3 linked regions of the Caenorhabditis elegans genome follow. The protein of the gene in region 2 interacts with the protein of the main gene of each other region in a pairwise test. Each region holds a gene or a part of one and is shown on either strand. Other genes may lie near its edges.

Region 1 (3,756 bases), on a different chromosome or scaffold from region 2:
TGAGTCATTTTGGCAGAAAGAAGAACATTCTCCGAGCATGAAGCCATGTTGATCAGATAAATGACGCGAGTCAAGTGCAAAAGATTATTGTGTTATACTTTTTTATTTGATACTGAAAATTGTAACCTTTTCAACTGAGAGATTGGTTAAATGTACCTGTGTTTCAGAAATATTTTAAACCTATGCTCGGAGAATGCTTGACATTTTTTTCAAAATAAGTTCTGATAAAGAGCTTTCGATAAGAATTCAACAAGCATCTGCTGGCGGATGTACATAGGAGAGGGAGAAAAAAGAATACTCATAAAAATACATTTAGAATTGCACAAAAAAGTTGAGTTTGGAAAAATTTTAATTCGAAAAATACCCAAACCACAGAACAGGTACTACTTTTGTAGCGAAACTATATGACTTCCATGGCAGTAAGTCCAATATTTTTAAAGAATAAATAATTGGCATAACTTTTAGAAAACAAGAGGCATTTAGACTGCGAAAGTGTATTGCACTTCAAAATTTGAAGCAATTTATTATCTTAATTTTTCTGAAATCGGACAAGAAAAGAAGAAGTGAAAGGAGGCAAAAAAGACGAAGCTGAGCCAATCGATGGCCAAATTTTTTAGAACGACAACGACTGAAGACGACTTAAAAATATGAGCATACGGATAAACAGGGAGATTAACTGGCATCCGCCAACAGATTCACCATGCAAAGGATTAACTGTCAACTATAACATTTCTTTTATTTTCTCCTTTTTATAGAAAATATATTTATTCACTATTTCATCCAGGTTCGTCCGTTGACGTACTACAGCTATGCAACCAGATTTATTCGAATAAAAAGAATATCGTGATCTTCACAATGAAGCTCGTATTTCTATTTCAAAAACTTGACTCATTTTTAAGTAGTGATGAGATGCAATAACATTAAAATTTAGGTGCTTACGTAATAACCGGGCCAATCGGAAACAAGACGAAATCTAAAACGAACGCATTTGCAAAGTCGAGCTACTGGCTACTAGTGAAGATTTTTAATTTACATCGAGTTGAAAAATAAAGATAAAATAATAAAAATAAAGATGTTTATGATCCATGTTCTTGATTAGGATACATATTATAATACTTCGGAAATGACATACATACATAGGTATGCATACAAGAAGCAATATCGCTTCATTAACAAACTATCCTAGATCATAATTTAAAGAAAAATGTTACACTTTCAGTAATTGGACTTTGTCTCAATTTTTCTCTATTTAATGTATCCTGGCATACAAAGCGTATTATAGAAAAACCGTTTCCGAAAAATTTTAGTTTTTCAGATATTTCGAAAACAATTCGATTTTTGCAAAAATATATTAACATTTTGACCATTTTCCTTTTTTTTCAGAGAAAACATTTCATGTTTTTTCTCATCAAAATGAACAACTTTTGGTAATTTTTTAGTTTTTTTGTTAATTTTCTAAAAAAATTTTTCTTTAACTATAGAAAAAAAATAAAGAATATTGAAATAATTTTAGCGGTTTTGGAAAAAAAAAACATTATCTGCATCGAAATTCGACATAAAAAATATTTGCAAATAAAATTTTCAACTTATTCTTGATAACTTAAAAGCTTAATTACATGGACAATAATATGCAATTGATTTATAATTAAATTGAAAGTTAAAAATAAAAGAATAAAACAGTTAGAACAAATTCTACCATCATGACTTTTACAGAAACTTTGACACGAAAAAACAAAAAACCACAATAAAACGCTGTTCTCTATTATTTCCGCTTTCATCGAACGAAGAAGAAAATCATCCGACAATCGGCAATTCTATGCACGCAAAACATAAAAAGAACTGACAGAGACATGTGCAAAGAGATTTTTTTTAGGGGGAGATTTCTATTGCAATGAGAGAGATAATATCTTGTTTTATAGGTTGCATTTTTACTTTTTTCGGTTTGGTAAGATACACTCAGAACTCACTTTTCTGTTGCATTACTTGGGCTCTTCTTTTGATACATAACGACTCCAAAATTGAGCATTTGATTCTGAAACTATAGAAAAAAAAAAAGATTGGCTAGAAACAAAAATAAAAAGTTAGATTGGAGTTTTTGGAGGGAAACGTTGAGTAGGCGAAACGCCGGAGCTTATCAATCACTATGGGCAGTTGAGTGGAGAGAGATTTGTGATGTGAATAAAATTATAAATAAATTGAAAGTATTTCTGATCCTCTCACTCTCTCTTTCTTTCCTGTTCTCAACATTCACCTCTACTAATCCCCTTTTTCCAGCTCATCACAAGGTTGCTCTTCGTTTTCTGATTTTGTGTGCTCATGGATTACTGTAACATTTCTAGATTTAGATAATGGTAAAGTGTATGGTGAATGGTGACATATCCGAAAACATGAAACTTGAAAATATTAATCTAGTTAAATACTTCTGCCGTTGACATTTGAGACCAGCTATTATAATAATCTCCTTTTTTCCACTCTATAAGCAACAATTTTCAATATTTTGACATCCTGTGAATTGCAAAAAATGAATATATTTTCTAAGGGGTTCGATAGTAGACATGAATTTTTCAGACGTGCTCGCCTGCCTGCTTGCCGCTGATGAAAGGTTTGATAGGAAGATGCTAAATTATGGCAGGAGTAGGAAGTTGTTCCTAACTGTCGAGCAGTGACTTTGCACTTTGTTGTCAGGAAAATTTGGTTTAACCGTTAATCCTTCAGATGAAGTTTGATTCCTGGAAGTTTTCTGAATTTGAGTTGTATCACTGTCTGTATGTTTAAATACATAAACTCCCGTGAAAAAAATTGAAAAAAAAAACAAATACGACGAGGCAAACTTATTTATTTCCCAATATAATTTTACTCAAAATCGTCGTAAAATTTTTGCAATGAAGGTGAGTTGGAGTGCGGGAGTTCGAGCCTGCCTGTACCTGGCTACGCGTCTACCTGAAAATAAAATAAGACATCAGAAATTCTAGAATAAGTTTCCTGCAATGGGTCGCCTGTAGTATGATTATTTAAAAAAAAGACAAATTCGGTATTCCTGGTATAGTAAAATGTAATTTTCAATTTTCAGAAATCTGAGAAAAAAGAATGTAAGAGTGAAACGACCGAAAAGACTGAAAGGACAACAGATGGCAGCAGTATTTCAAACTCAGTTATGATCAATTTTCCGGACGACTCAATGTATCAAAATGTAGAAAAAACTAAAAGCGTTGGAAGGTGAGCAACTTTATCCCAAATATCCCAAAACACTTTTTAATTTCCAGAGTAACTAATGAAATGATTGACAATTATTTATTGAGATACCAATTTTTCCATGGTTTTGTGCTCCAAGAGCTACAACTGATCTTGTTGAAGACGAACGGAGACTTTCTCCTGAGATTGTCGCATCAACCAGAGAAGAATGCGAAGAAGCCGACGACTCCGGACAAAAGTGCCACTGATCCGATTCCACTGACTCGTGTCATTCTTGTTCTGTCCGTCAATATCAGTTTGTTTTATTTTTTGTTTTTTTAACTTCCTAGCAGCTTGGAAACTTATTCAATGAACTTCTCATAAGTTGTCAAGCTGTTGCGGGGAACTTGCCCTCACTGTTCGTTGAAAAACTCTAGATTTTACAATTATGTTCCCTATTCAGCACAAAAAACCGGCACCACACGAAGTTTCTATGGGGATCTGGAGGATGTGAAGAAAGAGAACATGGATATGCATTTGTTTATTGAAGAAACCGCCGGCAAATGGACCTCGTTTTATATTGAG
Region 2 (3,756 bases):
AGCACTCTTCAAATTCAGACATCTTCCACGTGGGCTGATGACTGTCTTCATTCGAAGCACCATGTTGATGCCGGTGGTGTCTGTGTCCTCGCCACGTGGCTTGTGCAGCATTTTTGATTGCTTGTCAAACTCGTCATAGTCGGATGGATGAAGAAAGTCTCGAAGGGCTCGACCTGTTAAATCTGTCTGAAAATATATCGATGTTAAAGAAGCAAGTTTTCTATTGCTCACCTGTGTTAATCCTAAATACATTGCAACACTTTCAGTGACGTAAAGAATTGAAGAATCACTGTCAACAATCATAACAAAGCCGTCCAAGCATTCGGCGATGGTGTCTTCAGTCCATACCTCATTTGTGATTTCATTGTCCAAATTGTTTTCCAATACTGAAAGAAAAATATTAATTTGAGAAAAATTGGCAGTGATTTTTGGTCGATTTTCTCAGCATAAAACACGATTTTCAAGTGATTTTTGATGTTGAATCAACTATTTCTTTATTCGATGTCACTTACCATTACCGGCTGTCTTGCGCAGTCGACAAATTGTGGCGGCAACACGAAGAAGTGCAATACGGTCTAGATGAGTTACGGTACCTTCTTCAACAATAGGCACACACATTTTCAGATCATCAAATATATCCGATTCTTTAGACCGACGATCACGAGCCGCGTGTCTCGATGTTTCACGACGGCGTTCCATGTTTCTAAAAAGTTTGATTTTGAATTTCTTGTCACCCCAAAATTGGTGAATTTCAAAAAATTATATACCTATATAAGTACACTTCTCATGAGGTTTTTCGATTTAATTTAGTTTTAAGTATAACTGGGAAAATTTATTTTTTCAAAGGTGGAGTAGGAGGAGCCAGTGGAGAAAGTGTTGAAAACTAATCCAATGGTACTAAAATGACCGAATATCAAATTAAAAATTGTCAAAAATTTTTTGAAATTGTTTATTTACCGTCCGTTAGATGATAATCACTCAATTTTTGCCACTCATAATTTTGGAAGCATAGTAGGGATCGGAACATGCGGCATTCCTCAAATACTTATGTTTGTAAAAATTTTGGCCATTTGCCAAAACTTTGACCGGAAATTATGAAAAATCTAAAAAATTTTTAAGTGTTTTATTATGATTTTTGGTTGTTTCGAGCCATTGTAAGTGTATTTTTTAGGCAAAACTGCCACTGGCGCTACTCCACCTTCAATCACAATTATTTCACAATTTATTTTCATAATTTACTTTATCTAACATCTCCGATTAAAAATGAGTTGTGTCTAAAAAGAGCGAGATATATTTTATATAGATGATTCACATTTGATATTCGATTCGGAAATGCGCATTTTCAATACATCTACCTCTGCCAATGCTCCCTCTCTCTCATTTGCGAGCAGAGCATGGAGCAAACCCAAAGGACTACGGTACTTCTAGCGTTTTCAGGCATCCAATCATGGAATGTTTAAGAATGAATTTCGATTCTAACAGAATTCTAACTCTACCTTTTCCGATTGTCTTCCATCTTGATAGTGAATAGGTGCAGCTTCAGTGAAGCTGAGGTTGGTGTGATTGGGGCAACTTCCCCGTAATGACGGGCAACTTTCAGGTGGGCTGAAAATGTATGACAATTTTAAATTGAATAGAATCGGGTAGAGGGAATTAGAAAAATTGTATCAAATGTTCTTAAAATTATCATTGAGAACATAAGGGGTTGTTAGATTTTCGAATGTTAACACTTTTGAATAAAAAATCAAGTTTAGTTATGATTTATAGCACTAGGGTAGAGTGTAGTGAGACAAATTGAAACATCATAAATACCAAGGGTGCACAAAACGATCGATTGGATATGTTAGTGACAGTTGTTTGGACGGGGTCCCAGAGGACGTCAAGATTTGTAACAATTTCATGGACAATTGACTATTTGTTAGGCAAGTATCATAAGAATGTTGCAGAAAACAAATCATAGAGATCAAATGCTCAATTTAAAACCCAAATCTAAAAACAAGAACTTAGGTAGACTGGAAATTTCGCTGAATTCAATTCAAGAAAAATTGTCAATTTCTTTATATTGAGTGAATACAAACTGATTACAAGAATCATGTGATAAGCCAGTGAAGGAGAAAAGGGCACACAAAAAGATTAAAAGCAAAATTTTCCCGATTCAAAAATATAAATCTGGATATTGATGTTACGTCAATGGTATGAATGGGGCAAGATTGAGGGGGTGACTAACATCAAACTATGAATGAACTACGATCAATCTTTGAAAAAATTGTAGTTGAAGTAAGTCAAAGAACAGGGGAATCACTAGAATGTAGTGTTTTCACCGAGCGTAAACAATAATGTTTTTGAAGATAACTATACTCAAGTTCAGAAAGGGTAGTTTGTGTAGTGATTTTAGTTTATCCTTATTATCAAGTGAATTTCAAATAAAATAGTTAAGATCGGGATTCAATCAATCTTTGGACTTAAAGGCGGTGTAGTCGAATTTTTAATTACTCTATTACACTCAAAATTGTCTGAAAACACCGAATTTTCTAATTAAATTTTTGAAAAGGACACAAAAAAACTATGGCGGCCCAAAATATGACAAAAAAATAAGTTTTCAGCCGCTGAGAGTTGCTCAAATTTTAAAATTTAACTGATTTTAGGTCCTTTTTGAGCCACCATAATTTTTTTGAGAAGTTTTCAAAAAGTTTCATTAAGAAATTTGGTGTTTTCAGACAGTTTTGAGTCTAATAAAGCTAGTCCTTACATCTCATATCACACTTTTTAGCTTAATCGAGAAATTGAAAATATCGATACATCAAGAGAGTGCACAATTAATATAAATCCTCAAAATATAATAAAGAATTGTCGAAAGTTATTGGAACATTAAATAAAATCAATAGTCATATGAAACGAGGGAAACAGATAGTCATCATCAACAAGCGGGAGGCGACGACAAAATGTAAGAAGAAAGATGTTGATAAGACAAGAAATTGAACGACAGTGGGCAAAACGACTTCTCAGAGACTGTCGATTGACAGAATGTTAGACAAAAAATTGGGGGAAAGCTAGAGTACAGAGAAGTAGAGTGACTGATAATTGATTAAATTTAGCGAAAATTGAGTTTAGTCCATATCTTTATAATGGAAAGGATCAACTTTTTCCGATATGTGGTTCAGGAGCTATGTTTTGACATTGGAGTTAAATAAAAATTTAAAATACAGATCAATGAAATCAAACCTATTAGCGTTACCTTTGAACTATAAGAATTAATAGATTTTCTGAAAATCTGAAATCTCTCATTAGAGAAAAACTGAGCAGCTAGTGGGCGGTGCCTACAAACCAAAGATGGGCATCCAAACATTTCTTCGTTGATCAAAAAATGAATTAGAGAAGTAGAGTTTTCTCTGAAAATTGAGAGAGGTGAAGAAAAACCAAAAAAAAGACCTCTCATCTAACACACTCTCTTGACCCAGTAAGTACATAAACCACGGAGACACGAGACAAGCAGGCAGACATATTGAATAGTGTGCGATTTGGAGAGAGTCCAAAGAGATGAGAGAGTGAGAGAACTAAAGAGAGGACAACGTCAGTAGTGCTGTCGCGACAGAATTCCGACGCGCGCGTACATCGCGATGATGGTCAAGAGTACAGAGAGACACTAGAGGGTAGTATAAACGAGGGAGACGCAGAGATCGACATAGAGAGGGAACACGTGGTTTAGAGAAGGGCGGTGCGGTAAATGAAATTGGGATGATGGGTAAGAAAACGTTG
Region 3 (3,756 bases), about 17 Mb from region 2:
GAAAAACGTGATTTCACCAACCTTTCGATTGCCGTGTCCACGTCGTCTTTCATGGCCATGTAGCCGTATAACTGCTTGGTGATGCGGACTCGTTCGTTGTTCACAAGCTTGCGAGCCGGTAGAGAGATGTCAGCGTCTGGAATCGCATCAAAGTGAAAGTTTGGCTCTTATTGAGATTCCGCCCGGACCTGGATTCAGAAACGTTACCGCTTTGAACGCTGCAAATTCGGTTGCGTCGAGCTGTAGATCACGGAACGGCTTGAGCACGAGATCCAACATTTGATACTTTTTCCTGTTGAGTCCGGCTGGCCTATAACGATTGAACACAACGCGGAACGAGACGGGAATTGGGGCTCGGTTTGGAGTATATGTGACCGACAACTTACCGGGTTGGCTCTGGAGTACGATCGAAGTAGGCACCATCTGGGAATACAATTGTGTCTGGTCCGTAGTCCGGGGAGTTCCAGACTTGAACCAGGACTGGGACTGTTATTGCGGCATGGCGAACAAGTTCGGCCTGGAAAGGATTGAAATAATTAAATCGTTATACATGTTTCTGGTTTTCTTCCAACCTTATCTTGATAATCGAGCGCCTCAAAAACATCGAATGTTTTGGCATACTCTGTCAACAAGAACCAGTCTCTCTCGTGCCAATAGTGGTAGTCGTCGTGATTGACGAATCGTAGATCGAAGATCTGATGTCTCTCACTCGGCTGTCCCCACTTTTCCAAAAAAGCCGTGTCGTTCAGCAGAGCCTTTGAGCATAGAGCCTCGTGGAGAGATCGGATTGGAAGATATTCGGAGAGTCGGAGATCATTTGCACACTTTTCGCGTTCGGCAAGAGTTTGTAGGATGCAGCGACGAGGTTTCAGTGGTGCAGCTTGGAAAAGGAGTGGCGAGATTGGTGGAGGCTGTAATTTGGGATCACGTGGTGTCAGAGTTTCTCATTTCGGCTTGATCTACGTAGATCTATAGAAAATGCGGGAAAAGAGACGCAGAGTTCTCAACTGATTTTGCATGGTTGAGAACGTGCTGACGTCACACATTTTTTGGGCAAAAAAATTCTCGCATTTTTTGTAGATCAAACCGTAATTGGACTAATTAATTACCGATAGCTGTAATGGAGACACTGATGGTGGGGTGCTTGCTCCTTCGTCACTTGAACAGTCCGAGGTAGTCTTCAGCTCTTTTTTTGGACGCCTGGTACGTTTTGTGTATCCGATAGGGTCACGGTTTTGTTGGAGGGCGTTTCGGTCCATTCCCACGCTCAAACATTTCTCGAATCGGCAGTATCGGCAGGCACAGCGGATAGCTGAACTTTTGAAATATTTTTTATAAGTTCCTTGTTACTGCTAACAAGTGGTGTCAGAGTGTCCCATTTCGTTTTGATCTACGAGAATTGCGGAACTGATTCCGCATGGTTAAGAACGTGCTGACGTCACATTTTTTGGGCGAAAAATCCCCGCATTTCTTGTAGATCAAACCGAAATGGGACAGCCTGACACCAAGTGTGCTAAATAACTCACTTTTATCAACTGGACAATTGCCCTCGAATTGGCAAATGTACTTTTGTTTCTTCATAATTGTTCGCCGGAAAAATGTCTTGCATCCGACACATGACGGGACACCATAATGGTAGCCAGAAGCGAAATCTTGACAAACGAGACAAACGTGATCACGAGACGAGCTCGGAGACGATTGAGGTGTCATTTTGACCTGAAATACGCCTTGTTTGTATTGGTTTTTTTTGTGACAACGAGAATAATGCCAAGAGACACTAGACACGATAACAAATGCAAAGTGCCCCCGAATCGATGCGTTTTAGAGATAAAATGAAGGAGAAGAGGAGAGGTAAACTACAACAATTGAACTGTGATGTGAGACAGGCTAGGGACAGCTGTTGCAAAAAAACATTTGAACTTTTGATTTCTAATCATTTGAGCAAACTTTTTTTGAAACAATGATTTGCTGGGTGGTTTTGGAAGTTTTTTTGGAAAGAAATCAAGTCCTTGATGAAGTGACTCGGAAAAACGGGCGGTCAAATGATTGTTCATTATCAACATATTAACAGGCTGCCTAAGAAATGAGAATAGAAGACCTTGAGATGTATATTCTATATATGTCTGATATCAACGTGAAGATCGAACTGTCTTGCAATAAAACACAGTGGCTTGGGGCCTGCTGCTGACCAGCAGCTTCATCGCGTCCTCATGTATTTTTCACACTACCCCCTCCTCCTCTCAATTTCCGATCGTCCCCGTCGTCATACGACAAAGATTTGGGACGTTATCGCTGCCCGTTATATACGATTCTTCTTGACCAATGAACAAAGTACATGCGATGGGGGGGGGGGGGGGGGTGGAGCCTCTCTTGGAAAATGCCACGAGAAAACCACGCCATGTAATGTTGAAGAAGGGAAGATTTGATAAAGAAAGAAGTCTGCACCTACCTACTATGTGAGAAGACTTTTGTACACACAGACTGTAGCAGCAGCAGCAGAAGAAGAAGCTACACGTGGTGGCAGAGTGTCTCATTTTGGATTGATCTACGTTGATCTACAAAAAATGCGGGTGAGAAGAAACGCAGAGTTCTCAACTGTTTTCGGATGGTTAAAAACGTACTGACGTCACACATTTTTTTGGGCGAAAATTTCCGCATTTTTTGTAGATCAAACCGTAATGGGACCGTCTGGCACTACGTGAGCTAATCAATTTGTCTATGATACAGGAGACATGAAGAATGAGAAAGTTGCATTGTTAGTTGCTGAGAAATAGGCGAAAATTCGTCCTATTAGATGTTTTGGTCATTTGATTGCTGATAAGACACTGATAAGTGCTAATCAATTTAAGAATTAGTTGTTGGTAAATTTAACCATCTTATGATTAAAATAAAAACATCAATATTTGTACAAAAAATTCTGAGAATGCGTATTGCATAACATATTTGACGCGCAAAACATCTCGTAGCGAAAAAGAAGACTACAGTAATCGTTTAAATGACTTCTGTAGTGCTTCTGTGTCGATTTACGAGCTCGATTTTTGAAATGAATTCTTCTTTTCGAATATTGCCGGTCCAGAGAATGAGGAAAGTTGAATGGACACAGATATTCCGGAACCCAAGGTTGCGGGAAGAGCCGATTTGTATGGATTTACGGAGAGTTTGTGAATAAAAACACTCCGTAAATCGACAAAAATCGTCTCTTCCCGCGCCCCGCCCCTTGGGTTCCGGAATGTCTGTGTCCATTCAACTATCTACACTCTCTGTACCGGTAATATTTGAAAAGAAGAATTTAATTAAAGAATCGATCTCCCGTAAATCGACACAAAAGCACTACAGTAGCCATTTAAACGATTACTGTAGTTTTCTTTTTCGCTGCGAGATATTTTGCGCGGCAAATGTGTTGCACAATACGCAGCATTCTCAGAATTTTTTTTTTCGATGTCAGCGTGGCGAGACCCATGCGCGCAGGATACGCCGAAAATGCTTTTATTCAGACTTCAAAGCGACTTTTTGCAAAAATCCAAAATTGTCCTAAATTTCTTTAAAAAATCACAAACAAAATGAAAAAAAAATCGCGGAAGATTGCAAAAATCCAACTTCACGTAGTGTCAGAAAGTCTCATTGCGGTTTGATCTACAAAAAATGCGCGATTTTTTTCCCAGAAAAATTGTGACGTCAGCACACTCTTAACCATGCGAAATCAGTTGAGATGTCTGCGTCTCACCTCCCGCATTTTTTGTAGATCAAAGCGAAATG

The links.
Region 1: the proteins of hif-1 (region 2) and kin-4 interact in a two-hybrid assay, tested with the Caenorhabditis elegans proteins (one large-scale study listed by BioGRID).
Region 3: the proteins of hif-1 (region 2) and nhr-114 interact in a two-hybrid assay, tested with the Caenorhabditis elegans proteins (one large-scale study listed by BioGRID).

What each region holds. Positions count from the first base shown.
Region 1 is NC_003282.8:11,424,012-11,427,767, reverse strand, and holds the start of kin-4 (non-specific serine/threonine protein kinase), read right to left. Parts: upstream 2,027-3,756; coding exon 1,968-2,026; intron 1,635-1,967; exon of another isoform or gene 1,614-1,634; intron 1-1,613. Other genes in the region: F22B3.8 (Tyrosine-protein kinase), read left to right, coding at 2,883-2,888, 3,071-3,216, 3,264-3,487, 3,635-3,756.
Region 2 is NC_003283.11:20,778,262-20,782,017, reverse strand, and holds the start of hif-1 (Hypoxia-inducible factor 1), read right to left. Parts: upstream 1,612-3,756; 5' UTR 1,517-1,611; coding exon 1,497-1,516; intron 704-1,496; coding exon 513-703; intron 387-512; coding exon 232-386; intron 187-231; coding exon 1-186.
Region 3 is NC_003283.11:4,185,163-4,188,918, reverse strand, and holds the start of nhr-114 (Nuclear hormone receptor 114), read right to left. Parts: upstream 1,717-3,756; 5' UTR 1,711-1,716; coding exon 1,527-1,710; intron 1,313-1,526; coding exon 1,110-1,312; intron 912-1,109; coding exon 573-911; intron 518-572; coding exon 387-517; intron 311-386; coding exon 189-310; intron 137-188; coding exon 22-136; exon of another isoform or gene 1-21. UniProt on the Caenorhabditis elegans protein: Probable transcription factor which may have a role in detoxifying dietary metabolites arising from bacterial tryptophan metabolism.